Linked DNA regions of Daphnia pulex. The protein of the gene in region 2 purifies or fractionates together with the protein of the main gene of each other region. This does not show direct contact. Links are inferred from orthologs where the notes say so. Each region holds a gene or a part of one and is shown on either strand. Other genes may lie near its edges.

Evidence for each region.
Region 1: the proteins of KRR1 small subunit processome component homolog (region 2) and ATP-dependent RNA helicase DDX18-like purify together in Homo sapiens (affinity purification with mass spectrometry; 3 studies listed by BioGRID and IntAct, with this or other methods). This does not show direct contact. The link is inferred for Daphnia pulex from reciprocal best matches to the Homo sapiens genes KRR1 and DDX18.
Region 3: the proteins of KRR1 small subunit processome component homolog (region 2) and protein KRI1 homolog purify together in Homo sapiens (affinity purification with mass spectrometry; 3 studies listed by BioGRID and IntAct, with this or other methods). This does not show direct contact. The link is inferred for Daphnia pulex from reciprocal best matches to the Homo sapiens genes KRR1 and KRI1.
Region 4: the proteins of KRR1 small subunit processome component homolog (region 2) and nucleolar GTP-binding protein 2-like purify together in Homo sapiens (affinity purification with mass spectrometry; 3 studies listed by BioGRID and IntAct, with this or other methods). This does not show direct contact. The link is inferred for Daphnia pulex from reciprocal best matches to the Homo sapiens genes KRR1 and GNL2.
Region 5: the proteins of KRR1 small subunit processome component homolog (region 2) and ATP-dependent RNA helicase DDX24-like purify together in Homo sapiens (affinity purification with mass spectrometry; 3 studies listed by BioGRID and IntAct, with this or other methods). This does not show direct contact. The link is inferred for Daphnia pulex from reciprocal best matches to the Homo sapiens genes KRR1 and DDX24.
Region 6: the proteins of KRR1 small subunit processome component homolog (region 2) and nucleolar complex protein 4 homolog B-like purify together in Homo sapiens (co-immunoprecipitation; 3 studies listed by BioGRID and IntAct, with this or other methods). This does not show direct contact. The link is inferred for Daphnia pulex from reciprocal best matches to the Homo sapiens genes KRR1 and NOC4L.

What each region holds. Positions count from the first base shown.
Region 1 is NC_060023.1:6,843,723-6,848,506, forward strand, and holds ATP-dependent RNA helicase DDX18-like, read right to left. Parts: upstream 3,021-4,784; 5' UTR 2,940-3,020; coding exon 2,855-2,939; intron 2,790-2,854; coding exon 2,727-2,789; intron 2,666-2,726; coding exon 2,540-2,665; intron 2,451-2,539; coding exon 2,323-2,450; intron 2,255-2,322; coding exon 2,122-2,254; intron 2,062-2,121; coding exon 1,986-2,061; intron 1,924-1,985; coding exon 1,685-1,923; intron 1,624-1,684; coding exon 1,483-1,623; intron 1,421-1,482; coding exon 1,260-1,420; intron 1,200-1,259; coding exon 1,047-1,199; intron 991-1,046; coding exon 820-990; intron 748-819; coding exon 570-747; intron 496-569; coding exon 350-495; 3' UTR 296-349; downstream 1-295. Other genes in the region: LYR motif-containing protein 2-like, read right to left, coding at 1-37. UniProt on the Homo sapiens protein: ATP-dependent RNA helicase that plays a role in the regulation of R-loop homeostasis in both endogenous R-loop-prone regions and at sites of DNA damage.
Region 2 is NC_060023.1:9,551,707-9,555,613, forward strand, and holds KRR1 small subunit processome component homolog, read left to right. Parts: upstream 1-1,750; 5' UTR 1,751-1,894; coding exon 1,895-2,398; intron 2,399-2,459; coding exon 2,460-2,981; 3' UTR 2,982-3,029; downstream 3,030-3,907. Other genes in the region: uncharacterized protein LOC124198094, read right to left, coding at 571-932, 1,007-1,192, 1,262-1,304; polypeptide N-acetylgalactosaminyltransferase 2-like, read right to left, coding at 3,241-3,510, 3,578-3,803, 3,865-3,907. UniProt on the Homo sapiens protein: Part of the small subunit (SSU) processome, first precursor of the small eukaryotic ribosomal subunit.
Region 3 is NC_060018.1:4,442,451-4,447,226, forward strand, and holds the start of protein KRI1 homolog, read left to right. Parts: upstream 1-1,407; 5' UTR 1,408-1,518; coding exon 1,519-1,630; intron 1,631-1,693; coding exon 1,694-1,791; intron 1,792-1,853; coding exon 1,854-2,201; intron 2,202-2,261; coding exon 2,262-2,422; intron 2,423-2,482; coding exon 2,483-2,639; intron 2,640-2,706; coding exon 2,707-2,919; intron 2,920-2,975; coding exon 2,976-3,111; intron 3,112-3,174; coding exon 3,175-3,281; intron 3,282-3,354; coding exon 3,355-3,491; intron 3,492-3,560; coding exon 3,561-3,690; intron 3,691-3,747; coding exon 3,748-3,908; intron 3,909-3,978; coding exon 3,979-4,077; intron 4,078-4,154; coding exon 4,155-4,289; intron 4,290-4,355; coding exon 4,356-4,776.
Region 4 is NC_060028.1:1,711,334-1,716,314, forward strand, and holds nucleolar GTP-binding protein 2-like, read right to left. Parts: upstream 3,218-4,981; 5' UTR 3,067-3,217; intron 2,999-3,066; 5' UTR 2,975-2,998; coding exon 2,898-2,974; intron 2,842-2,897; coding exon 2,628-2,841; intron 2,553-2,627; coding exon 2,151-2,552; intron 2,089-2,150; coding exon 1,987-2,088; intron 1,926-1,986; coding exon 1,557-1,925; intron 1,493-1,556; coding exon 548-1,492; 3' UTR 368-547; downstream 1-367. Other genes in the region: protein trapped in endoderm-1-like, read right to left, coding at 4,203-4,523, 4,595-4,808, 4,880-4,981. UniProt on the Homo sapiens protein: GTPase that associates with pre-60S ribosomal subunits in the nucleolus and is required for their nuclear export and maturation.
Region 5 is NC_060027.1:4,484,324-4,489,165, forward strand, and holds ATP-dependent RNA helicase DDX24-like, read left to right. Parts: upstream 1-1,573; 5' UTR 1,574-1,717; coding exon 1,718-1,726; intron 1,727-1,788; coding exon 1,789-1,977; intron 1,978-2,046; coding exon 2,047-2,666; intron 2,667-2,728; coding exon 2,729-3,329; intron 3,330-3,393; coding exon 3,394-3,828; 3' UTR 3,829-3,897; downstream 3,898-4,842. Other genes in the region: phosphoserine phosphatase-like, read left to right, coding at 11-105; mitochondrial import receptor subunit TOM22 homolog, read right to left, coding at 531-611, 679-806, 906-1,017, 1,078-1,281; alpha-(1,6)-fucosyltransferase-like, read right to left, coding at 4,157-4,631, 4,712-4,842. UniProt on the Homo sapiens protein: ATP-dependent RNA helicase that plays a role in various aspects of RNA metabolism including pre-mRNA splicing and is thereby involved in different biological processes such as cell cycle regulation or innate immunity.
Region 6 is NC_060027.1:896,911-901,760, forward strand, and holds nucleolar complex protein 4 homolog B-like, read right to left. Parts: upstream 2,745-4,850; 5' UTR 2,716-2,744; coding exon 2,575-2,715; intron 2,504-2,574; coding exon 2,189-2,503; intron 2,124-2,188; coding exon 1,883-2,123; intron 1,825-1,882; coding exon 1,633-1,824; intron 1,572-1,632; coding exon 1,400-1,571; intron 1,341-1,399; coding exon 1,177-1,340; intron 1,112-1,176; coding exon 915-1,111; intron 849-914; coding exon 729-848; 3' UTR 687-728; downstream 1-686. Other genes in the region: SEC14-like protein 2, read left to right, coding at 3,948-3,995, 4,603-4,672, 4,746-4,789.

The DNA.
Region 1 (4,784 bases), about 2.7 Mb from region 2:
TGAGCACTTTTTTAGGAATTCTTGAAATGGTAGACATAGTTATTTGTGGGTAAATTCAGATTACTAAAACCAGTTGAAAGTGTTTTGATTACTGAAGTGATTTATTCTAGGAGTCTATTATCAATATCATCTCACGATCTATTGACAATATTCATTAATGGTTAATTCTACGATACCCTTCAGAAAAATAACTATTTTTATTTCCATCTCAAACAAATGAGCGACGAATTCCGCCCGCCATCTCTTAAGGAAAATTACCATTACAATATTTAGAGAAATAAAGCTTGAACGAAAATATTGGATACGCAAATTTATTGTCTGTGGACAACGTATAAAACAGTCAGAAAAATTATCGAGAAAATTGCCGTTTGTCGCTTGGTTTCTGTCCAACTTGACGATATGTGCTTGCTTTTGTACGGTGCTTAGTTCCTCCATGGGTCTCCCCGAAGTTCCCTTGGCGTTTGCGAGGGCGGTCAGCTTTAGTACTACGCATGTCTACAAAGTAAAATGTATGAGTCAAATTTTGTGAAATCTGAAATGTCAAGGCCAACAGATAAGATTAAACATACTAAGGTCTACTGTCGGTGGAACTTTGAAACCAAAACTTTGGGCCACTCTAGCCAGGTCGAGTGTATGAACGTCGAAGATTGTTTTCAAATGATGAGAATCATAAGCACGAATGTAGGCTTTGTAAGCTTCTTTTGCTGACATATGGAGGAAATAATTCTTGGAAACCAGTTTTTCCAGCTGAATAAATAACAAAAAGTTTGTTAGTGAAATTAATAGAAATAACATAACCGTAAATATTTTTCTCCGAACCTGAGGTTGAATATCAGCAATTTTGCTCCAGGAAAACTCAAATTCGTTAAGTGGAACTTTGGCTTGCTTCAAATACCGTAAGAAACCTAATTCTTCTGGCCTCAAAAGAAGCAAGGCGTGGCCCTTGCCGCCTTGGCCGCGAGCAGTACGCCCGACACGATGAATGTATTCCTAAAACGAATTGCTATAGTGACAATTTTTCAAGTATTTCTATTAGATTGAGTTACCTTAGGATCATCTGGAGGATCATACTGGACGATCCAATCGACCGCTGGGATATCCAATCCTCTTGCTGCCACGTCCGTACAGAGAAGGATTCCAGAATCCGCATTACAAAATTGGAAAAATGTTGTCGTTCGCTTAGTTTGCTTTTGTTTACCCTATTTCATAAATAAAAAAGATTAGTACGAAACGAGATGTAAAACCCAACTGAATCTTACGTGAATGCACATGACAGGCATATCGATGTAGTTTAGCAATTCATGGTGAAATTTGACGGACAAGCACGAACTAAAGAAGACCATGATTTTCTTCTTGCGATTACGTTTAAGAAAAGAAAAGAGCATGAGAAAACGCTTTTCGGCAGGGCACACGACATAACCTTAAGAATACCAAAGATTTAAACGCTGAATTTAATGACGAAAATGCTAATATAGAAATAACCTTGTTCCAGTCCCTCAACCGTGGCTTTCTCAACGACATCCTCTACTCCAACAATAATTGGCTCCTTCTTGAGGGCCAAGCGAGCAAGATCCTCAATTTTCTGAGTTGATGTAGCGGAAAACAGCATTGTCTGTCGTTTTTCTGGCAAAAGTCGTAGCGTGAATAATTGATTAAAACAATGGCAATTAAAGCTTAGACTTACTAGGTAAAATACGAATGAGCTGTTTTAATTCTTCTTCAAATCCGATATCCAATACACGATCTGCTTCATCGATAATGAGACATTGGAGATTTTTAAATAGAAAATCAGTCGTGCTATTCAAGTGATCGAGCAATCTTCCAGGAGTTGCCACTAAAATATTAACACCCTTTACAAGCTTTGCAGCTTCAGCTTGACGATTTGCACCTCCCATAACCAGACCATATGTATGGGAATGGTGTCTAGATGAAGACAAAAGATATTGTAAAACCCCAATTTATGTTTCAAAAATGCATGAACTCACCTTAACAGTTCACGTAAAACTCCAAAAGTTTGCATGGACAACTCTCTTGTGGGAGAAATAATAATAACTCCAGTACCTTTCATAGCAAACAAGTGGTTAAATACAGTTATTATTGAATAGAATACAAAATAAATACCATTTCGCGGCATAAACTTCAATTTATATATCAGCTCAATCGCGGGTATCAGAAAAGCCAATGTTTTACCAGAACCAGTTTTGGCTTGTCCTAACAAATCACGTCCCTCCAGTAAATGAGGAATGGATTTTGCCTGAATACATATTCATCATATTTTTTAAATAATTACTATTATTATTAAAAGTTTCCTTTTTATGTTACCTGGATTTCTGTCATTTTTTTGAAGCCCATCTCTTCAACAGCTTTCAAAGTCAAATCTGAGACACTGCCTTCCAACGAAGCAAATGTCTGGTCACTAAGAATTCCAACGTTGATTGATGATCCAGGTACTAAGAAATAAATCATTTGATTTTCAAGATAAATAAGAAAACAAAAATCAAATAACAATATCCTCATTTCACCAACTAGAGTAACTTACATTGTTGTAAATCTTCAGCATCAATATCCTCATCATCTTCATCTACTACTTTCTCATTATCTGAAGTAACCAGTTGTGTTTGCTTCACAGCTTTTTTAGAATTTGTTTTCAGTTTCTTCACTGGCACTAAAAGTATTGAGTAAATTAGTAATCATGATTTCTTTTAAACTGTCAGGTTTAACCTTACGTTCAGTTTCATCAACATTCTCTTCTTTTGTTGCGACTTCATGTTCGTCTTCGTCGGATGCGTCTATTGCAAAAATCAACAAATTAGTAAAAGAAAATATACAACTCAACAAATTAGATTGCTATTACCCTCGTTTTTCTTGTTTAGAACTCTTAGTCGACTCTGTTCTCGTTTCTTGAGTTTGCGTTTTAGTTGAGGATCGGGCATAGACATTTTGAAAGAAGCAAAGAAACACGTGCACAGCTTTCTAGACGTTTATGCAGACGACTCTGCGACAGAATCGATACTCGATAGTGTTCACTGTTCAGCGTTGTTCTGAATCGGATGTTACTTTTTAGATTTTAATTTATAAATGTCATGTTACATTCAAAATAATTTCATTCAAAATTAATTCAAGTAAAATCTTTGATTTAAAAAAATAAACCAATAACTTTGATAAAATACAAATTTTGTAGTTTTTGATTTCCGATATTTTTCTATATCGATACTTAAGAAAAGTGGAAAAAATTGTTATCTGGCAAACGCAATATTTTTGTAATCATGTAATGCCCGCAGTAGAAAATAATAATAATTCAAGATTGTTTCAAGTTCGATTTACAAATCCCGCAAGAGAGACGGTCACGTGACATGTGCTAGGAGAGACCTAATCCTAACGTGGGATTCTTGTGTCACGTTCTTAAGTTTGTTTATTACATGAGACATTTTAACTCATAAGAAACTAATAATAAAATATGTTATATGTTACTCTTCTTAAATAAGAAAATGTACAATAACTTTAAGTAGTTCTTATACACTTCAAATGTTTCTTTGTTCCGGGAATGAAGGCAATCACGCCCACACATTCAGTTAAAAATTAACCGTCCTCCCCCCCCCCCCCAGACTAAAAAATGTGCAATAAAGGTAAAGTGAAGCCAACCATTCAATCCGCTTTCGATCGACATTTTCCTGTGGTATTTTCGGTCGTTAAAAGAGGCGTCGTTCGATCAGTCGTTATATTTTCTATTTTGGACAATTGGTACTACGCTTGGGCTAAATTTATATTTTCCAAATCTGTCCAATCAATCGAGATATTTTAACTTGATGGGTCTTTAAGACTGTACGTCCGTATCCCGTCGTAGACAATCTCTTGGCTGACACCTAAGAAAGAGATTAGGTTCTCCAAGAAAGAGAAGAAAGAAGGCTAAAGCATTACGGGCCATAGAGGAAGCCCTTTGCGTTACATGGTCACTCGGTGTGCATTTAACTATTTATAAGAACACTCAGGCAATCTAAAACTCGTGCCCTGCCAACATGATGGCTCGGGCCATTTTATACTGACGCTGAGCTGATAATACAAGATGTTGAACTTGTGTTCATCAATTATGAACAAACGCCGGACGGTACTATATCATACATAGAGCCTATTAAAAGAAGCTTGTCTTTTCGAGAAGATCAAGACCGCAGACTTTGAATTCCAGCAGCATATAATCATTAGAAAGCTAGCCTTATTCTAATTGAATTTCACAAACAGCAAGGGGATGCAACTCCGGGAACTGTGTGAAAATGTCGACGATCTACTGTGTCCCTCACGTATTGTTATAAGCTCTCACAACAAGAGAATAGTAGCCAGAATAGTAGGTGGATAGCCCGCTAGCGATAGGGAAATACACGTTTTTATATGAGGGTTGATGGCAAATGGATTGGGCAAAGCCGGAAATCGGTAAAACTTCAATGCAGTTCCCAGGCAGTTCCGAGGGAAAAGAAAAACAAAAGAACAGGCGTGGTTTTATAGGGTCCAACGACAAGTTATAAAACCGCGATAGCATAGATCCAGAATCACTATATAGATTGCACCCAGTTGAATGATGAAGATCCAATTGGAACTGATGATAACCGCCTTCTAAATCTATTTAAAAAACAAAACAAAAAAAACGACTTTTAGTTTGCCGATCAAATTTGAATTTCCGAATGAATTCCATTACTGGCAAATGGCAATCGGGAAATAAGCCAAGCAAAAAGTAGTTTAATTGGCTCGGAACTTGGTGGGTGGGTGTGAGTTGTTTTCAAAAAACCCAAAAG
Region 2 (3,907 bases):
GGAGCAAGCAGCATTAACCGCTGAATAATTATTTTGCAATTTGACACTTGTGTGTGACACCTGGTCTAAGGAACGCGTAGCGAGACGCACTTTGTAATTGTTTTGTTCCGTTCATGGAATGGATTTGTTTGACTGTTCATTTTAATGACGCTGTTATGTTAACAAAGTCAAATGTTGCCTGGCGCCATGCTGTCTCCGATTTAAATCTATTTTCACTCTTCTACCAGTTAAAAAAGTAGTTTCATTTTGCAATCATTTGTAGGGAAATTTTGTGAGATACGCATCCCTTCGTTTAAAAAAAACAAAAAAATATTTTTTTCCATTCACTTTAAGATCCGTTGCTAATGACAATTTAAAGACATGCAGTAATCATGATAATTTGTCAATCTGTTTCACTTCTAAAGCCGCCTGTACACACGACAAGACTAGTGTTGACCATGTTACACTCCTGTGTTTCGCGCGATGCTCCAACGTGAATGCAGATTTGTTTTGCCACTGAATTCCTTTTTGTAATCTTACCATTCGTTATGCATGCGTGTTAAATCAGAGGGTAAATAAAGAGTTTTATTATCACAGTGGACAAAAGGTGGTTGACCTCTTATAAATAACAATTGCTTCAAGAAACTTGCTACGCCAGACTGCATGTGTACGCCAGCCTTTACTGTCTTTCAGTTGGAACGGCTGTGGGTCGCAGTATCGAATTTTGTTTTTCTCATCCGGACCTACAAGAATCACACAGTCGCCTGTGAAGCTATCAAGGTATGCTTCAAAGGCTTTCGAGTCGTTGAAATAACAAAATAGAAGAGCAAATTTAGAATTTAGTTCCGGTAATGTAGTTGGTTCAATGCAGCTGATTCCACTTAAAAATTTGGGTGGGCTGTACCTACTTTCCCACCAACCTTGGTCTATTTCATAGCCTATTACCGGCAAACCTGTACAATATATATGTGGTAATTTTGTTGTTGTATAAGGAAAACATCAAAAGGGAATTGGCGTTCTTTCTCACCTGTTGAAGATTTTATGAGCCATTCAAACAGACCACTGCCACAACCAATACTAGATACACCTTGTACTCCAAGTTCCGATAGATTCTTGTGTAAAAAATTTAAACCATCAGAGTCCGGCTGAAACCAGAGAATTTTTTCGTCAGTAAAACCATTTTCGTACAGTTGAACTATTCCTCGCCAGTCACCTGTACAGTTGTTGGAAAAAGTATTCAAACACACGGGTCTTCAAAAATTAAAAGATTGAAAATACTAACCGTTTTCATGTAGTTCTCTGATGTTACCTGCGGAACCTTCCATGAGCGCCCTGGAACCTTTCAAGCTATATGTTTAAACGTGAAGGAACAAATGAAGGCTGGTATCTCAAATATAAATGCTTGATATCCCGGTCCTGGCGACCCGTTTCTGTCTTTCTATCTATAGTCACTATTTCGGTTGGCAAGAAAGTCCAACAGCTTGGCTGTTGGCTTGAAGACAAGTTTATCCTGTCACATTTTTTCTCACAATCCATTTTTATATCTCATTCATGTCTCATGTGTATCTCATTCTTTACGAATCTAGATTTTACAGGCCTACAGTTTAACTTGGAATTTATTCTGACCTTGAATAGGTTAAAGTTTATTTTTATTTCGTCGATAAACGGTTAAGTTTTTATCGATCCGCGTCCGACGCGAGAAAAATGATAAATAAAAAAATTTGGTTCTTGTATTTAATTTCAAAAAATCAAACCGGCAACGCAGTACAAAATGGCAGACGACATTTCTTGTATCGTCATTGTAAAATTGTGCGCAGTAAGAGAGAGGACACGTGGGATACTGTTCTTGACAGTTACGGGCGTTTCTCAGTTATTTTAAATTTCAGTAGAAAGATCTCGATCAGACAATTCGAAAATGAGTGACCCTATTAACGAAGAAGAAGTAATTCCCGAGGGGGGAATAGTTAACGCATGGAAAATGAAGCTACCTGAGTTCAAACAAGAGCACAATCCTCATGGCCTTTTAGAAGAAAGTTCATTTGCAACACTATTTCCAAAATACAGAGAAGTCTATCTCAGAGAATGTTGGCCTCTTGTTAAGAAAGCCCTTGGCGAATACAATATAAAAGCTGAACTCGATGTAATTGAAGGTAGTATGACTGTGAAGACCAGCAGAAAAACATGGGATCCCTACATCATTTTGAAGGCTCGTGATATGGTAAAGTTACTTGCAAGAAGTGTTCCATATGAACAAGCAGTCAAAATCCTGAATGATGATGTTGCTTGTGATATTATCAAAATCGGAACCCAGACCCAGAATAAAGACCGTTTTGTTAAAAGAAGACAAAGATTGATTGGACCAAATGGATCTACTCTTAAAGCTTTGGAATTACTGACAAATTGCTATATCCTTGTTCAGGTATTAATTTAAAACATTTAAATATTGAAAGAAATTGTGTGATGTTGGATTTTAATTTTAGGGAAATACAGTCTCAGCTGTTGGACCATATCGGGGATTGCAGCAAGTTCGAAGAGTGGTGGAAGACACAATGGAAAACGTTCATCCTATTTATCACATCAAGGCCCTTATGATAAAAAGGGAACTTGCAAGAGATGAAAAGTTAAAGAATGAATCATGGGAGCGCTTCCTACCTACAATTCCACACAAGAACACGAGCAAGAGAAAGCAACCTGCCAAGAAGCGTGCTAAGAAGGAATATACCCCTTTCCCTCCTGCACCACCAGAAAGCAAGGTGGACAAATTGTTGGCTACTGGCGAGTACTTCTTAAAAGAGGATCAGCGTAAACAACGCAAGAAGAACGAAAATCAAGAAAAGCAAGAGCAAGCTGAAGTACGAAGAAAGGAACGTCGAGAAAGTGCGTTTATTCCCCCTCAAGAACCAAGCACATCGTCTGGAGCTAAGGATTCGACCTCTGACATTAACGTGGAAGAGTTGAAAAACAAAATCCGCAAAGGCCAAGCAAAACGTAAACATGTGTAAAATCCAAACGAAATTCCCAACTGACTGAAATAAAGACGGTAAATAATGGCACTATAAAATTTATTCATAGTTTTAAGTATGTAAAAAGGTAAATTTTCGTAAGGTCTGGCACAAATTTCAAGCTCCATGAATGAAGACGCTGCTCCATCTGCCTATGACTAGAACGTTGTTAATATTAAGCAGGATCATGTGGCGATGGTTGCATTACAGAAAAACGTTCTTAGATTTCTGATTTGCAAATTGTGAAGGGATTTGATTCTTAACGAGTGAAGACGAACTCTTGGGTATCCAGTCTGGGGTGGCATTCTTGCACTGTGATCTCTTGAGCATTTCGTGCATCAAGACATAAATTGGAGAGGCGATGGACAACGGTAACACCACGCAACTGGCCTATTTCCAATTTGTCCCATAGCTGATCGTTGCTAGAGCTGCAGGGCAGTGTAATCACCTGGGCCCCGACGTAAGCTGGAGTTGGAGGAGCCAGACACCATGACCCATGACGTAATCTACCATTAAGGTAAGTCCATGCCTGTGGATACAGATAATTTAGATGTAGGTCAGCCTTAAACATTCACCTTTCTTTTTTTGACTCGTACCTGATTGCCACCAGTCATATGGCATGCATATAGACCAATGTGGCTTCCGGCACCTCGGCCGTATGTGTCGAAACAGAGCGACTTATATTTTATGGCACCTGAGTTTGTTCCACTTGGGTCACGCACTGTAGGCAAATGTTTCAATAGCTCCGGGTAAACATTTTCGACGTACCACTTAAAGGGTTTACAATTCAAACTATTGCGTAGAGCAAGGCGATCGGTGATGCTGAAAACAAACGTTTTTTTAGAGCGCTGTAAACGCAGTAAAATTTAACAAGTTGATTTACTTTCCAAATGTTACAGTTCTAGCCATCGGTACGGCTGCAAAGT
Region 3 (4,776 bases), on a different chromosome or scaffold from region 2:
ACCGGATATCGATCCTGCACAAGTACGGAAAAAGGGAAGCAGCGTCTTACACGCTAGGCTAGACGCAACTGGCTCTGCAATTTACACTTTCAATTTCATCAGGCAAATAGGGGGCAACTGGGAGACAGAAAGGGGAAAAAAAAACACACACAAGCCTTTACACATAGTAGAGTGGCATGTAAACGAAATATACTATTCTCGCGTGTTCTGACCCTATTGAAATCCTTCGAAATTTCGTTGGCGCTGGGACACACCCTGACTGCGAGGTGAGTCGGAATCCTTATCCCCATATATTCGATGATGATGAATCAGATCCCATTATATTAATTAGTCTATCCCATCTGTCTCTTTCCGCCCTGAAAGAGAAAGATAAAACGTTATGATTCGATTGGCCAATATAATTGTACGACTGGTTGGAGTTGGGTTGCTCCAACAACAGCCACCGACCGTCTAACAAAGTTCTCCGTCAAAAGAACAAAGACCGTCGTATACCTTCCCTTATTGAATCACGCATATGCAAGGATTTACATCCACCGCACACGTCTAAAATAATAGCAGCGGGATCGGATTCTCTCGTTTTCGTCTCTTCTTCAACGTCACAGGGCGGTGCGCGGTTAAGATACGCTTCATCTCGATATCATCCGTCATCACGGAATAAGGATGCGCTGCTCTCTATTCATCAAACACGTCGAGTTATCATTAGTTGGGGTTATATATACGCGTATCGTCGAAAGAAGAACCGTTCATTTTGGCAATTCATCATCTATTCGACTACTTTGGGGGATATGACCTCGCGAAAAACCCAACCTATCACTTTCTTTCAACATACTTGCAAAGAACTTTACCTTTTCTGAAAACGAGATATTTAAAAAAGAAAAATCGCCTTTCATCCTTTACCGAATCTGAAGAATTTGTTCGAGAAACTTAATCAACGAAAGAGTTAATCAATACTTTTCTTCACAGTTTACACAGTGTTCCTTACAAAGATCCCGTAACATGATCCTAAAAACATAATACCTCAAAAAACCAAAAACAAAAAAAAAATCGAAATAAAAAAAAAAAACTGAATAACGAATGGCCTTAAGGGTATTCTAAAATAATTAAAAGACATTCAATTCAATACGTAAACTGTCATTCTCAACCATCTACCGTGTACCAGGTGGACCACCTGTGCAACACACATGCGACGCAAGTAAAGACGTTAAAAATTAAAACTGAGGCAATCATCAATCATTTTTTAAGAACGACCATGACAAGAATCAAAGATTTTTTTCTATTTCTTAAATAGAAATAATTTGATATGGCTTTTTGAAAATGTTCGTACAGAATGTACTACAACTTTCAATTTCAAGTAAAAAATCGATTGCAAAAACTGTTCACTGATCGATTCTTAAAGTTAGCAGACGACGACAGATTATTGTGGTATTTCCTACACGTGGTTGTGAGCATTCGAGTTGCGACTTATTTAGTGGCTAGCAATTAATTTCAAAATAAAACTTCTAAAATTAATAGCTTGACATGGCTACTCTCTTTGATGAGGCAAGCTCGGATGAAGAGGGGAATTTGAAAATCAATTCAAACTACGCCGAAAAATACAACCATTGGCGCGAGAAAGAAGAATATCAAAAATGTCAGTCAACTTCATAAGAGACTTTAATGTTTTAATTTACCTAACCAAATTAAAAATTTGCAGTGAAAGATAAATATGGAGAAAATAGCGCCATGAAAATGTTGGTTACAGGAGATGCAGACAGTTCAAGTACTTCAGAAACTGAAGATGAGGATGGAGAAGTGATTTGTTTTGATTTTCTTTCATCACATAAAATTCAATTTATAATTATTTTATTCAACAGGCCTGGGATTCAGAAGTAGAGAAGCAGTTTTTTCAAACTTTGGCGTCACTGAAGAAGAAAGATCCCAGCATTTATAATGCAGAAAAAAAATTCTTTGACAAAGCTGCTCAATCTGCACTTCCGAAGAAGTCAACAAAAGAAGAAGCTTTCACTCTGAGGGATTATGAAAGAAAAATCATGGTTGAAAAAGGTGGAAAAATGAGTGATGACGAGGATGCTCCTCCACCTCCACGAACTTTCCAACAGGAGCAAGAGGAACTGAAAATAGGCTTCAAGGCTGCCCTACAAGATTCTGATTCGGAGAGTGAGGACCTTCTCACAGTTCGCCCCAAAAGTGAAATCCAAAAGGTAATAGATGTCACCAAACCTATGGTACTAGTTGTAATTAACACCATTTGATCACTAAAGGAAAAAGAAGAAGAAGAATACAAAGAATGGCTGAAAGGTAGAAAAGAAGATATCACCAATGAAGAGACAAAAAAACAACTGGAGCCTCTTAAAGAATATTGGTCAAACCCCAAGTTGGATGAAAACGAAGCATTTTTAAAAGATTTTTTCCTCAACAAAAGGTAAAAAGTACTCAACCATTTTGTTCCAAACAGTATTCTTATAATATTTCAAATTTAAAGGTACAAGTGTTCAGAAGACAAGAACTACATTCCTACGTACGAGGAAGTTGTTCACGAATCAGAGGCCGATCTGAGTGAAGACGAAAAGGCTTTAGAGCAACAGATGGAATTCGAACACAAGTATAATTTCCGATTTGAAGAACCTGACCCCGAGTTTGTGAGTTCTTGCTATCTTTCTTTTTAATTACCAAAATCAAATAATTAATTGTATGTTATTTCAACAGATCAAAAGATATCCCCGAACTATTGCCGATTCAATGAGAAAACCTGACACAAGCCGAAAAGCTAAGAGAGATGAAGTGAAGGATCGCAAAAAACGCGAAAAAGAAGAAAAAAAGGAAGATCTCAAAATGCTAAAAAAGTACAAACTGAAAGAAATCCAAGAGAAGCTTGAACAGCTTAAGAATATCACTGGCAATGCATCACTCCCTTTTCAAGTATGAGGACATTTTACCCAAACAAAATCCATTGTAATTACTATTTCGCATTTTAGGACGACGATCTCGAAGGTGACTTTGATCCTGATCAATACGATAGGAAAATGGGCGAGATTTTTAATCAAGATTATTACCATGTCGACAATGAAAATCAAAAGCCAGAATTTCCTTACGACCCTGAAATCGATGATGGTATTACAACAATTGAGTTGAATAACAATCAGCACGATTTCATCATTTCGTTTTAAATTATAGAAAATTGGGATGACTATAAAGGTCAAGAAGCAGGCCCTTCTACCAGCAATGATCACTATAACGATAACGACTATGACGGGCCACACTGCGAGGATCCAGATTTTAATGTAGATTACATTGGAAGGGATAACTTGAAAAGTCAGCACATTTAATTTTTCTTTTGGCATGGGGAAATTTCAGATGGACTGCGATTATGAGGAGGCTAGAGAAGAATCTAAAAAGGAAATGATCGAGATGACGCGACGTAACAGAGGTCGGAAAAAATCAATTTTCGCCCAAAAGCTGGAAACGAAGAAACCAGTGTTTGATCCTGAACAGTAAGTTTGATCCAAGTCAAATTAATGTCATGCTATCTTTCTTTCTAATAAATATTTCTTTGCTTCTAGGCACCCAAACTATGAAGAATATTTAGAAGAATATTACAAACTGGACTACGAGGATATAATCGGTGACCAACCTGTTCGATTCAAATACAGGACAGTTGTCGAAAATGATTTTGGTTTGGATGTAGAAGAGGTATTCAAAAAAAAACTTGTGCAACATTCAGTTATAACGAATTAATTTACAATTTAGATCCTCGTTGCAAGAGAAAAAGAACTTAATCAGTGGTGTTCTGTGAAAAAAATGTCACAGTACAGAACTGAAAGAGAAGAAATGAATGACTATTATACATACATCACGAAAAAGAAAAACGTTTCTTTAAAGAAACGAGTTCTACCTTCGGTTTTCGCCGAGTAAGTTGAAGTTTCTCGTTTAGTTTTGAACAATTGAAATGATTTCTAAAAACGCATTGCGATTCTTTAGAAATTCAGAGGCATTAATGGTAGCCGATCAAGAAAAAGATCGAAAAAAGCGGAGAAGGAATCAAGGCAAAGACGAAGATCCTGAATCCCAACCCATTCCGTAAGTTAAAATGATTTTAGAATACGTTTTTTGTTGAGCCCTTTTAATAAAAATAATTATAATAATGATTCACACAGATATCCTGAAATTGATCATCAAGAAATCCAAGAGGAAACAGTGCCAAAGAAAAAGAAGAGGAAAAACAAGGGAAAAGATGAACCGTTTACCCAAGTGAATGATTTTTCTCAGATAACTGAACCAAATCATTCCAAGTAAGTACACATTTTCACTTGAAACTGAGAGCTCTTCTTCAATAGCTCTTTTTTCTTTTCACGTAGGAAAACTAATGAAGTCGCACACAAGAGGAGGAAAGACAATACCGACGATGCTGGAAATGTTTCAGTGGCTTCAGAACATGAACAGCCCAAACCAAAGAAGTTAAAAGCTGAAAAACCTCAAGTGGAAAATGAAATTCCTTTAGCTACCGAACTGGTCAAAGGCAACGAGAATCCTGAAAAAAAGAAGAAGAAAAAGAAGAAGAAGAACTTGTCGGAAATGGCGGTAGCTACGGTTTCGAATCCTCCTGTCATCCCTGAGAAAGCAGTTTCACCAAGCAAGGATTTTAAAATGGAAATCGATTCAACTGGAAAGAAGAGTGAGGTCACTTGCACAGAAAACTCTCCCAAAAAGAAAAAAAAGAAGAAACAAGCTAAGAAATTGTTGGCACAAGAGGAGGATCAGAAGGCCGGATCGTCTTCT
Region 4 (4,981 bases), on a different chromosome or scaffold from region 2:
ATATACGTAACAGAATCTCCCGAGATGAAAACAGAATCCAACTTTGACGATACAATGGTCGTAAAATACTGCCCCGAGTGAGGTTCGAACTCACGACCTCGAGATTATGAGACTCGCGCGCTGCCTACTGCGCTATCGAGGCTTATACAACATCTATCCAGAAAACTCAAAATGCTATTTGTTTTGTGGTCTGGTTCAGGAAATTAGCCTTCCAACGAACTTAGTATAATAGTTTCTCCTTTTAAAATTTGATCAAAGAAAGCCTCGTTTAAACCACACCTGCTAATAAAACAAGTTTTTAAAAAAAGAAACGCATAACACGATAATTTCAACTTGGAAAAATAAGTTTACGAATAAATACCCATCTATTTTCATCGTTTTATTTCAGACCCCACTTACATAAAAGATGTTCAAAATAACTGAATCAATCGGCGAGAAAGAGAAGAATCGAGAATGTGTGTATCGGCCCGTGGTGGCAATTAGAATCAATCAATCGTTATAATCAGCTCATAAAGAAGATTAGACAATCACAAAAGCAACTCCCACACTACTTCTTACAGTGACCCCTAAAGGCCTTGGCCATCTCCAAGAAACCCTTCTTCTTCGACTTGTTTTTGACGTTGACCACTTCGTAAAAGTGAGTGCCGATCTTCTTCTTTTTCTGATCGCGATCGATCTTTCTCCTCTCTCTCGAAGTCAGCTTCCAGCGCGGGTTTTCCGGTCGGTCGTCCTCGTCACCGCCGCCTCCTTTCTTGGTCGATCGCGACGTGGGCGTCACGGAAAAGGCCCCGCTCTTGGTGATGGTTCTCGCTTTGAGTTTCAGGGTCTTGGCTTGTTTCTTCTTGGCCGCCGCATCCACGTCGCTATCTTCCTCTTCTTCTTCGTCCATCTCATCCTCGTAATCGTCTTCCTCGTCGTCGAGACCTTCGTGGTCTTCCCCTTTGGACACATCAGCCGATTTCGACTCTTCCGTCGCTTTGTCGGTGGCCACATTCTCCTCTGCGTCTTCATCGTCTTCCGCTTCGTCGGCCGAAGGGTCGTCCATGAAGTCCGGCTGGGCCTCCAAAGGCTGGACGTCGTCACCTTCGTATTTCAGATCCACCCGAATTTTACTGAAATCCTGGGCCAATCTGGGCTCGAATTTCTTCTTGTCCTTTTCAGTCTCCTCTCCCGACTCTTCAACAGCGGCGGCTGTGGCATCTCCTTCGGTTTTCTCCTCCACTTTGGCCGCATCCGGATTGACAGGGGCGACGAAGAAAGGCAATTTGCCTCGCTGCCAATCGTTCAAGACCATTCGGGCCACGGCGTTGTTGTCCGGTTCTCCACCCTTTAGCAGCCTGCCCGTTCGGCGGGCCATCTGGTCGAGAAAGTCGGTGGCATCTTTCCAGTCGTTCAACCTGTAGACGCGGCTCAAATACTCTTTCTTCACCCGTTCCAGCACAGCTGGAATAAAGTCTTCGGGCGTTTTCAGCTTTTCCACTTGAACGACACCCTGAAAGAATAGAGCAATCGTATTAGAATTTGCAATCAGGTAAATCAAATTGCGATCGGTTTACCTTCAACACTTTTTCCTCGTCCGTCTCTCCGGTGGGAAATACAACTCCCGGGCAGTCGATGAGGAAGATTCGACGCATCAGCGTGATGTACTGCCAGACTTTGGTCTCACCGGCGATGGGCGCCACCTTGCAGACTTTCTTGCTGCGCAGGGTATTGATGACGGACGATTTTCCAACATTCGGGTAGCCGATGAAACCCACGCTGATTTGTTTCTTGTCGCTGTGAAGCTTGCCGAACTGGCGCAGCAAATTGATCAACGAACCTTTACCAAAGGGATGGGTCATCGAAGAACGGAAGGCCATGGTGGGGTACTCGGAGCTGAGCGTCTTGACCCAACGTTGGGTAATCCAAGTTGGTACCAAATCCACCTAGAAAGAAGCATGGAATGAGGCCAGGGGTCTAAATTATCTTGGGAATGACTTTGCTTACCTTGTTGAGCACGAAAAACAATTGCTTGTGGCTTTTTTCTTTACGGATATAAGCTTCGACTTGCTTGCATCGAGTTCCCAAAGGATCACGGGCGTCCAAAACCTTTTCAAATTAAACATTTAGTACAATTGAACTCAAATAAATGATTTGGTATAATTCAATACCTGGATAATGACGTCCGAGCAGTCAATCACTTTGTACAATTCTCCCCAGATTCGTTTGCTGAGGCCAGCCTTCATGATCCACTCTCGAGTCAGTTCGCGATCGTCTGGCAGATCACGAACCAAAGCTCCGTCCTTTTCGATTTCGTAACCGTCACCGAATTTTTGGGCTGAGGATACGTAGCTGTCCAAGTCACCGGTGGCAAGGCTCGGCCGCTTTCGCTGTTTCTTGGGGCCAAAAGTGTTTTCAAAGCTTTCAGTTTCCAGCAAGTGAACTCTTGCGAATTTAGAGGATTCCTTCAGCAGAGTGATGGGCAGCTTTGTCTGACGCATTACTACTTGATAGGGATCCTTGATGGCCTGTCCAAGTTCTTCTTGGAATTTCTGGAGTGCTGATTGGCCAACCTAAATATAGTCACGTAGATTAAGATATTTGATCACTATCAAAGAAATGGTGAAGTAGTAATTACGATCACATACCACTCTGACATTTCCAAACCAGCGCCGGTTAGGTTCCACACGTGCAACAGTACCAGATGCAAATTTGGATTGAAAAGGTGCTGGGCGGATGACTTTGCCTGATTCATCACGCTTGGCCTTAAAGTTACGGTACATCTGCAATCGTTTGATTGTGGCCTTATCTCTTGCCTTGCTCACTCCCCTCAGACCAGAAATTTTTCGATCTGGGTTCATACTGCATCAGAAGATTTTATTAGCAAACATTTAGTATATTAGTGACAAATAACAAACCTGTGTCCGGATCGGTTAAATCCATCTTTTCGTCCGGCCTTTTTGACCGGATCGGTCTTACGGACAGTCCTAGCCATTTTGAGGAAGTACGATGCTTAAACCTGTTTTTAACATTTGAAAACATTGCTATTCAAAACACGAAAATACTGAAAATAAATATACGACCTACCACTCAGAATCAGTAGCTTCAATATCTGTAACGTAAACAGATCAAATGCAAACTACTTTTATAAAAAAACAAAATTTGTCATAAACTTTAAAGCGTACAACTTTTCGTACTTCTTTTCACACGTGTTGTCGTGAAAAGTCTCTCAAGAAAACGTCTGCTATTTGAGCTGACATCTAGGAACAAATTCCAAAGTTAAAACGTGCTGCCATCTAGCGGTAAAAAATTCACATAGTAAAAAAAAAAAATTATCATTCCATGTCGCCTATCGACGTAAAATGCCCAGTGGCAGAATGACTAAAGAAAAAACCTGTTTGACTAGCTCAGCCTATCCCTTTGGTAACAGCTTATTACTTATCGGAACACAAATCACATCCTCTTCTTTTTTTTTTAACTCTGCGTGTCATTGACCGACCAACCAACACACAAAAAAAACCACTTTGAATCCTCTCCATCCCTATAAGGATTATATAGGCGGGTTCGATAATATTTTTCTCCTTCTTTCTTTAAAAAAAAATCAACCAATATAGTATACATGCACTTGTATACGAACACACACAGTTATAAAAGAAATTTAAAAATTTCCGAGTCGTGAAGTTACATGAAATGTGTATACAACATCATTTACGAGGAACCGTGCGTACAAGACACAAGAAATATTTAAAAAAAAACACACACACACAAACTTGTCTTTTTTGAAAATTTTTCTATCTTTCATATTTCTTTTTTTCTTTTCTTTTTGTTGTCTGCTTTTCGATATGATGTGCTAAAAATGTAAATGAAGTTCTCTCGCCCGTCGGCGGCTTCTTTCTCTGCCAGGAGAATACATGTAGTATAAAAGACATGGTAATAATTTCATGCGACATCTCAATGACATTTCGGCAATTTTTCCCACCAAACAAAAAAAAAATTCAAAAATTTCCGCATTGGATTTAAAAAACAAACAAAAGTCGATAGCAAAAAATCGCGCAGAAATATTTTAAAAAAGAAAAAATTCCCATTCTGTTCTACATCTAAACAAATGAAAGAGAGAACAACGCATATGTACACTGGGTTCAAATTTTGTGATTTTCCCTGGCCAATTTAATTAATTTTTAAAATGGCGGAAATGTCTAGATTGCGCATTTTATTCGTTCATTTCAAGCCCTGGCCAGCTGCTGATCGCCATCTTCTTTGTGGTTGGCATTGTTGGTCGTCGTGTTGGTGGTGGATCGGATGACTTTGACCTTTTCGGCGTGAGCCGTGTAATGGAGCATGTCGGTGAGGAAAGTGCGGCCGGAAGAGCGCGACGTTTGAGTCTGCGAGGTCAGCCGGGCCGAGCGCGAAGATCCGCAGAGGAGCTGGCGGTAGGCCGATCGGTACTGCCGGTTGGAAAACGCGTAGATGAACGGGTTGATGACACTGGACGCCCAGGCCAGGATGGAGGCCATCACGTGAATGACTGGCACTTTTGTCTTTTTCTATGGAATTAAGAAATTAAAAATCAAATCAAATCATCCCAATCACAATGATAATTTTTGTTCACACGAACCTCGTCGTCGGCCACGTTGACCACCATGAGCGGCAGGAAGCAGAGGAGGAAGCAGCAAAAGATGATAAGCATCATACGGGTGAGTCGCAGGTCATCCCGTCTCTGGTGCTTCTCCGACGTGCTCTTCTTGCCCGGCTTTTTATTCACCGATTTCATCACCGGAACATTGGCCTGATGCTCTTCCGCTCTGTTGTTGCCACCACTCGTTCCGGGGCTGAAATTCAAATGAAACCCATTTTTTTTTAATTTCCCGCCAAAATTTAAATGGGCAATTTATTGATTTACCTGTGGGCCATGACGTTGCGTCTGGACTGTTTGACTTTGACGAAGATGCACGTGTAGGAGACGATGATGGTCAGACAGGGGATGAGAAAGCCGAAAGCGAAA
Region 5 (4,842 bases), on a different chromosome or scaffold from region 2:
TTGGTAATAGGATATGGAGGCAATGTCGCGCGAGAGGTTGTTAAAGCTAATGCTGCATGGTTTGTTACAGATTTTCAAGATTTGATAAATGTTCTTACAGATTAACATTGTCTACGAAAATTGTCGTCTTCTTTGAACTATTTGTTATTGATCTAATAATGCAGTTACTGATTGCACTGGATGATAACCTAGTAATATACATCGATTACAAATTTCCGTTACCGCTATTTATTCATCTTCGAGTCGTTCGTTCTTTTTCAGGGGCCATCAATGTAAAACAAAAAAATATGTTTTAAGTAAATTGCCATTAGAAATACTAAACTAGACAAACTTCTTTTTACAACTATTAACTGACTGTTAGGCCTACAAAAAAATTAAAAAAATAGGCTAGTATAATGTGTGTGGAAGGGAGAACTAGAAAAACTTTTGTGGCTCTTGAGACAAATAAATTTTTTAAATGTCATTAGTTGTAATTTATCAAGCCAGTTACATAAAAAAAGACTACGGCGAACGAAGAATCTGACGAGATCTTAACGGATAGGTGATGGAACTGGTGCCATTCCTGGATGAGGACTGCCTCCTGACATGGCAGCACCAGGGCCCAACAATATCTTTTAAATTTCAGTAATATCAATATCAATTGGATAAGAGTATAAATTGTGTTTTTCACAAATATACCTGTCGTTGCTGTTGTTTCTGCATTTCTTCCATTTGTGCCCTTTCAACTTCAAATATAATTGGAGCAAAGAGGATTGCAGATGTGCTGAATATAACCCATGAAGCAGAACGAGCAAAGGAATAAAAACCTTAATAAGAAAAAAATGTTAAAAGGCTGTAGTTAACAGACAAACATAATTAACAAATAAACCATGTAGATCAATTTTTTCATTAATTGGTGTACACACCTTTAGCAGATGAAAATGTACCATAAAAGAGTTTAGCAGTTGCAACTTGTAAACATGTTGGAAACATTTCTGTCAGACCAACCAATCTTTCGAGTACTGTTTCATCAAAATCCTGAAATAAAAACATAACAGTGAATGATGATTTTTACATTACAGAACTGTTCTTATTTACATCATCATCTTCGTCGTCTGAGTCTGCTTCGTCTAATGCTTTTGATGACGACAAGGCAACGACAGAGGCATCAGCCGATTCAGAGTTTGGTCGTTCAGGGGCACGTGCCGGACTAGACGCGTTTTCTTTGGGTTCTTCTTCTTCATCGTTGATACTATTAATAATCTCGACACTGAGATCGTCAATTTCTTCTATAGTTGCCATTCTTACAAATTCAACAAATTCTTACACGTTTTTGTATTACACTACTTGATTTTGGCAATGGAAATGTTTCCAGATTACACCGCTGACCAACTGTATCAGTGTATCACGGAAGAGACGACATTATCGTCTGCTAAGTATTAATGACAGAGAAGCCTGAGGCACCGGGCAACCGGCTGTAGCCTGATAATGAGAAAATAATTTTTATGACAACTATCTACAATAAAAAATAAATTATTGTGATTTTTTGTAGATACGTGAGTTTCTAAAAATTAACATATTTACTTTTAAGATAGTATACAGATTTGTATATGATGGCAACGCCACGAAGCTAAAATCGTCTGCACAATTCATGTTGGTTGTGGGTTCGTCAAGCTGACACGTGTTTTTTAAGTCAAATTATTGTTGTCAGTTCAGCACTTGTGCTTTTTATTCCATCATGATGAAGGTAAAACTTGTTATTTAATTTTTCACTGCATTTTTGTGTAAGCATGTTTCTCAATTATATAGGAAGAATCTAAGAGCAATCAAAACAATGATGAAAACAAAAATGAAAACACGGAAGAAAACATAGAAGAAACCAAGGATGAACCATTTGAAATCACACCTGATATGATTATTTGGAAAGCAATGTATCTTCCAGATCCAATAGTCAGAGCTGTCTGGGAGCTTGGATTCCAAACCCCAACAGCAATCCAGGTATGCTAGAGAAAAGATTTTGTTTGTATGATCTACACATGCAATTTCTTGATTGGTCTCATTCTCTAGCTTGCCTGCTTACCAACAGCAATGAAGGGAAGAAAAGACATTGTTGGAGCTGCAGAAACAGGGTCAGGAAAAACCCTTGCTTTTGGGATTCCCATACTGAATGGCATCCTTAAAGATAAAGAATTTGAACTGAAAAAGCTGAAACAGAATGAAGAAGAATCTGAAGATTCTGATGATGCAGATGATTCAGATGAAAATAATGATGATGGCCATACAAGCAACAAAAAGCAGCGAGTTGAAAAAAAAGCAGTTGTTGCTGAAGAAGATTCTGACGACTCTGGAGGACAGATGGAGGATTTTGGAGGTGGAATTGGGAGAGTGAGAGTATTTGATGTAGTTGAGTTAGGGAATCAAAAAACCAAAATAATTAAAGGACAGAAAAAATTACGAGCATTGATAATTACTCCCACTCGAGAACTGGCAGTTCAAATTGAAAAACATTTAAAGGCCGTTGCAAAGTACACAGACATATCCATTTGTCTCGTGATTGGTGGAATGGCAGCGCCTAAACAAGAAAGAATTTTAAGCAAAGGGCCAGACATTGTAATCGGAACTCCTGGTCGACTCTGGGAAATGATTGAAGGCGGAAATTCGCATCTTTCTCAAATTAAAGATATTCGGTTAGTTAATCAACATTTTATTTACTCTTCATTTAATAATTATTTGATGTTGTCGGTTTTAGATACCTTGCACTGGACGAGACCGATAGGCTTTTGGAGAAAGGTCATTTTGCCGAAGTCCGTACTCTGCTTGAACACATTAACAAAGACGAAGAAAAAAAGCGATGGAGACAAAATTTCGTTTTCTCCGCTACACTTACTCTGGCACATGACTTACCTAACCGATTGGGTAATCTCAAATCGAAGAAGAAGAAAGAAGCTATGAAACTTGACAAGTTGCTTAGTTTGGTTGGCGTCAGACCCAAAGCAAAAGTAGTTGATTTAACAACTCAAGTAAGATCGCTGAAACCCGCATCGCTTTCGGAAATGAAGTTGTACTCGGCCACCGTTGAAGACAAGGATTATTATCTCTATTATTTCTTGCGACACAATCCGGGTCGTACTTTAGTGTTTTGCAATTCAATCAACAACGTGCGCCGTCTCACATCTGTATTCACTTTGCTGGAAACTAACCCTCTTCCATTGCACGCGCAAATGCATCAGAAACAAAGACTCAAACATCTTGAGCGTTTTTCAAGTCTAGATAACGCGTTGCTGATAGCCACTGATGTAGCTGCCAGAGGACTTGATATCCCACATGTTCAACATGTAGTCCACTTCCAGGTAAATTTGTATTCCGATATCTTCAAAGGCTAATGTATTTAAAAATCATTTATTCGCCCACTAGGTCCCTCGAACATCTGAAAATTATGTCCATCGTAGCGGTCGTACAGCTCGAGCTTCTCGTGAAGGATTAAGTTTAATCCTGATTGAACCTGAAGAAGCGACAACATATCGTAAACTTTGCTCCACCTTGAAGAAAGACAAGAATGATCTACCCGACTACGACGTTGACATGCGAATTTTTGCCGCCATCAAACAACGAGTAAATTTAGCCAAGGCAATAGAATCATTGGAACATCGAACCAAACGAGAGAGGTCAGACAAGAGCTGGATGAAGCAAATGGCAGAAGAAGCAGATTTAGTAATTAGTGAAAGTGATCAGGATTCCGACAGTGGTAGTGCTGCTCAGAGCCATTCTCAGCTTTTAACAGAGTTGAAGAATAAACGCAAAGAGCTCACGAAACTTCTTGCACGACCATTTAAACGTTCAGTCAAGTAATACTAATGACAGTCGTGTACCAATGCTTTCCAATGTTCGAAATTGACAAAATAAAAAACAATAAGAAAATCTTGTGAATATATATTTAGCAGAAGAGCACCCTGTACAAAGAAAAATGCACTGTGCAATGTGTCAAGTCATAATCCCAAAGTCCTTAAAAGCTGTGTGTAGTGGCCAACCGGTAAGTAACCAGTACGGCACTCAAAACAGTGTATGGAAAGCGCTTGAAACCAAACTCAAGTTACCTTGATGTGACTGTGACTTCAGCACGTTTCAATCTGGTTTACAAAACTCAACGCAAAATGTTATTTACCTAAGCAGTCGTCACTCATGCAGCGACGGCCACCTCACTGTATGGGGGGAAATCAATTATATTGTACTTGTCCACGGCTTTGAAGGAAGGGTAGAGTCCAGATTGCTTGGTCCGCTCATTTGTACCCTTGGAGTAGCCGTCCCAGTGATTACCGGCTATCCCTAAAACATCACCTACTTCTACAGAAATCTCGCCAGGCCTATGGGCTTTGTGCGAGTACATAGCTATTTGTTGATGAGGACCTTGTCCACCGTAGTAGTAAATATCATCCAAAGACTTGAATTTGCTTGATGCATCAGGGTGAAGTGTTTGCATGATCTCGTACGCCAACCGACACACTTGAGACGAGAAAGTGCAAACGAGATGATCGCTGTGTGCAAGCATGTGAATATCGACCAAGATGCCTCGCAAGGACGAATCTGTGTAACGCGTTGCTACAGCCGCTCCTTTGGCTATCGACACATCACCAAGAAATTCATACTCCGGATATCTGTCGGGGGAAAATAAACCAGACAAAAGATCATTTAAGAAAATAAACTTAAAAAAGGGCATTACAAAAAGGGAGCTTACTTTTTCTTTGCTTCTGGAAGAACAGAAGGATCATCGGAAGCCAGGTAGACCCGTCTTACTTTGATTTGTTCTTTAATTTCTAGTTTATCAAAAAAATCTGCTACGTATAACATGTACTCGTCAATCGAATG
Region 6 (4,850 bases), on a different chromosome or scaffold from region 2:
GAGATTTTGAGACACCCACACACAGGCAGTCTAGGCAGCATACAATCTTAATCCACTGTTTTCTTAAGTTGACTGTAGTGTCTTTGTTTATGTCTAACCTTTCACTTAGCCGTTCAACACTGGAATGCTGAAGTGAAAGTAAATCTGTCCGGAAAAGAATTTCACGGTACTGTACGTTAGTTTGCTCTTCGTATCTAGGCCCTAGTGGCGCAATTGGTTAGCGCACGGTACTTATATGACAGTACTCTATGCTATGCCGTGGTTGTGAGTTCGAGCCTCACCTAGGGCAACCCTTTTTCTATTAGTTTTTGTGGTTTAATTGTTAAGAATTTACGACATTCAGTGTTCACTTACTAGTTCGTACACGAATTCCATTTCCTTGCGCTCCAATGTCCAGATGATGACATCCTGACCCTACTCTAACATATTCACACTAAGGACTAACCATTATTATCTCACGGTTTGGGTTTCCAAGTAGCTTAACTGTGATGCGTCCCAAACCAATCTGAACCGTTGGAGCTTAACTTACTTTCCCAACTGACACGCACAACTACTTTCTGACCGTACTGAATAAAGGTTTTCGTGAGTAACATAAATAGGTCAATCGAAAATCTATTGGTGTTACGAAAACCACGTAAAACCCAGACTAGGCCATCCAAATTGTAGATTTATTGGACAAAGACAAATTGTGACGGAAATTATTTTTATTCCAATGTTAAAGAGACATTTCACAATTCAAAATAAGCTGAAAGCTTTTCGTGTTTCACACAGGCAAACTTGGTTGGTTTTTCGAAGTTGATCGGAATATCGTCTGTGGGGTATTTACGCTTTAACTCTTTCTCCAACAGCTGCAGAAAGATTCAAAATACTTGCATAAGATAACGGTATTAGAATAATCGTTATTGAACACTCACATCTTCCAAAGTAGTTTCCAAATCTTGGTTAACATCCCATTCAAGTTTCGGCAGGTCTCGATCAATAAATTTAGCTGTATTTGCTATCTCTGGCAATACGTGAGACTGCAAGGTTTTAATTTCCCATAAAGAACTTTCAGTTGCTTTGCAAGCATTCAAATCCGTTTCACTCATTATGTATGGGTCATCAGTTATGTCTATGTTTTCAAAATAATTCGACGTAAATACCAAGCGGAATACGTGAAATTACAAAAATTAATACCTTTTTGATCTTCTGGACGATGCATTAATCGTACAAGTCCACGATGTCTAATCATCAAGTTGCCTACAAAGTGTAGAAGTAGTATTACGATGTTCGCTGGAGCAATCAGCGCCAATCGGGACAAGCGCTTTGCGAAGGCTGCAGCTATATATTCTGGAATATGTCTAAAGTTGAATCAATGTTAATCAAACGAACCACACAAACAGGAAGTAAATAATATTACGTTGATGTCATAAACAAATCCAAAAGGTAAAAAAATCGCGCGCGATATTTGACGAAAAGCACTCCTGGTTCTAAGAGGGCGTACAATTTGGTGTAAAAGTCAGGATATTCTAAGTTATGGCTTTGCATCAGTAGGAAGACTCCGTGAAGAGCAAGAATGCTTACAGCTCCGCCTATAAAATCGAAACATGTATAGTCAACCACCAAGCATTTAACTGAAATTTCCATTCTCACCAATTCGGTACGACTCCATTAGAAAATCTGTGAGTAACAAAGGTTTATCTAAATGCGGAAGAACTTTTTCCGGCAGAATTACAAGCACTCGTTTGTACAGACTGGGAGTCAGAGGATGTTTTAACAGTTGCTGCCAAATGATACTGAAGAACTGTTTGGCTCGTCCGTAATTCCACTTGAAATGGTTTTTATCTAGGTAAGAAAATTTTTATCATTCAGTATTAAAATAATGAAATTTGTCTGATGTTACTGGAACAAAAAAGTTTGGTTTTTTCTTCCTCCTTGGGAGGAGTATTGTGCAATGTAATGTGTTCCAAAATATGAATGAGGTTCTTGAGAAATTTTTCATCAACATTGCTTTTGCCTTTCAGTATTTTCGCTAAGACACGAAGAAGATGAAACAAAATGTCCTCATACTCCATGAATTCCTGAAAGCGAGTGAGTAATGGAGTAGCTTCCTTTTCAAGACTGAGCATGTGCAACATTAGCTTCTGTAATTAGAAAAGAATTAATGTAAACAAGTTTTTAATTGTTACAATTGTTTTCTCAAACATACCTCTAGGAACTCATGAGGAAACATATGCTCCCTTCCTTCAGGCAATTTGGGAAGGGGATGCTGACCTTCTGCTTGAAAAAGATGCATGAGATGAACAAGAGAAAGTTCTTGAAGACTGATTTGCTCTGCAGCAATAAGTTTGAAGAGCCGATCTTGAAATTCTTGATATCTCTCTCTGCTCCATTCTCTGACTTTTTTATCTGCATCTGTTTCCAATACTGGGCCTTGCTCAGACAGAGAACCATTTGCAATGAAATGGCAAAAAATTTTATCCAAAGCTTTGATACTGGCTTTGACTACGGCACTCTCATCACTCTAAGAGATCCAACGTGGAAATGTTGCATTGTTTCAATCACGTGTTATTGACATTTTTAAAAACAAAATACCTCTAGATTGGATTGGATGTCGATGATGTTATTGATGTTTTTACGGCTTTGGATGACTTCTTTAGTTTGAAGTTTAATGCTATCAAATATTTCTCGTTGATTTTGTTTGGACTCACGTTTTCGTGTTGACGGGGCCGCCATTTTCAAAATGTGCTGTTGCCAGTCTTCTATTTTCAGCTTTTTGCAAGATTTGCGCGCACGGAATTATTTTAGAGGGGGAGTGGATTTTCCATTTTTTTTTGCCATTATTATTTTAATTAATCGCATTTTTGATTAAACATTCGCTTTATAGAAAAGTCCTTTTACGAAGTTTTAAGTTGAAAATTACAAATTATTTTATCCTTTTTTTTTGTTTTTAGATCTTAACGGTGAGCGTGATCGACCTGAATAAAAAAACTGTCGACCTACTTGACCATCCCTCAATATTTATTTGTGTGTCGTAATACTTTTTAAATTAAGCTGAATATAAAATTTGATAAAATGTGCCAGTGACAGCAACTAGACGCCAGTGGCAACGTACCAATTTCGCAAATTGTATGTCAATTATTTTCAATCAAGTTTCTGGCAACCTTGATTATTTCATTCTTACATTGATGTAGTCTCTGATTTTGCTCTGATCTAGTGATCTAGTGATCCACTTTTCACGGTAATCGCAAGGAAAAATCGCACAGATTGTGTTTAATTTATCAACCTGTTTGGGGGTTCACCATCTGTGAGTGTCATCATGACTCAACAAGAATCTTAAAGCTGATGAGGTCGTCTAGACACTTTGTTTCCTTTGATGTAAGTAAAAATAACAGAATACCTATTTGTACCAAACAAGAATTGTTATCCAACAGCTCTACCACGCTCCCCCCTAGAGTTTCTTAAGGGGTGAACGAACACTAGTTTTACCCAAGAATTTGGTCGTAGCCCTCCGGGCTCACCTATACCTGTTATTAGGACAAGCTGGCTGCTGTTGGCCAGGCCATACAGGTGTTTTCTTACTTCAGCCTCTCTTCAGTAGAAAAGAAACAGTTCGTAGTACGTTCGTCTTCATTCACGACGTGTCTGACGATTGTCCTTGATATTGTAACATATCAGGTTCGGCCTTCACACTACATTGTAAAGTGCCAACAGTCTCGCACGTTGTTATTTTCTCGAGTTAATCTTTGGATCGTGACATACAAGTTCGTTGAACTTACGTCTCAGTTATTGCATTTTGCACAAGTCTCGTGTCCAAAACATTGGTAGGAAATAACAGTTTTGCAAACTAAACAATAGGTCTGTTATTCATTTCCAGATCTGAAAAAAAAACAGGAAGTGTTAATAGAAACGCCTGGCAGATTAGATACACGAGTTCTTCCACACCAGTGTTGCTACTTTTTCACGAGATGAATGTCGACCAGCTCAACGACGACCAGAAAACTGTGTTAAAACAGGTATGTTACATTTTTACTTTTTCTTTCCATATATTTTAGCATCTAGGAAATTTGCACGATACCTTCAGAACAGGTTTCTGAATTAGTTGTCTACGAATTTCTGATTGAATAAGATGATATTAATGAAAATGCGGTCAAAAGTATTTTGAACCCAGAGGCAGTTACCTACATTTCGCTTCCTGAATCTTCCCGTCTCCGCTATCCCGAGGCTCTCAAATCATTACGCACGAACTCATTCGATTTCCCTACTACGAGAGCTATTTTGCATGTGTTGAATTTAGTCAAATTTTAAAAGCACTTTCTACTCAAAACTTACACTTGTTTCTAGTTTTACAACTTTTCTTCGGAGATTTATGTCGTGCCATAAAATCATAAACCGTTACGTCGTTACCTTGTTAGTTTACTTTAAGCTTTTTTTCTTTATTCACCATCGTGTTTGAAAATGATGATACACCTGTTCGTCTTTCAGAAAACCCCCAAAGTGAATTAGAGCCCAGATTATTGCGCAATATAGTTACAAGTCACTCTTGTTTACTGTTGTTGATTAGTTTGCGCAGACTGTTGGTTCTGTTACCTGTTATTGACTTTTACATTAAATTCCCGGCAGTTTCGCGAGGCGGTGAAAGACTGCAAATTACCTGAATCGGACGATGTCTACCTTCTACGATGGCTCGTCGGTATCGTCTGAAGTTTATGCAGATTTTTTCCGGATTGGTTTAACCCGTTATTTCCTTTTTTTTTTAAATCTAGCGCGGGATTTTGATTTGGCCAAGTCGGAAAAGATGCTCCGTAATGTAAGTGCTTTGATATTTTAGCCGATTACTTTTTGTGTTAATACTTTGTTTGTTTTATAAA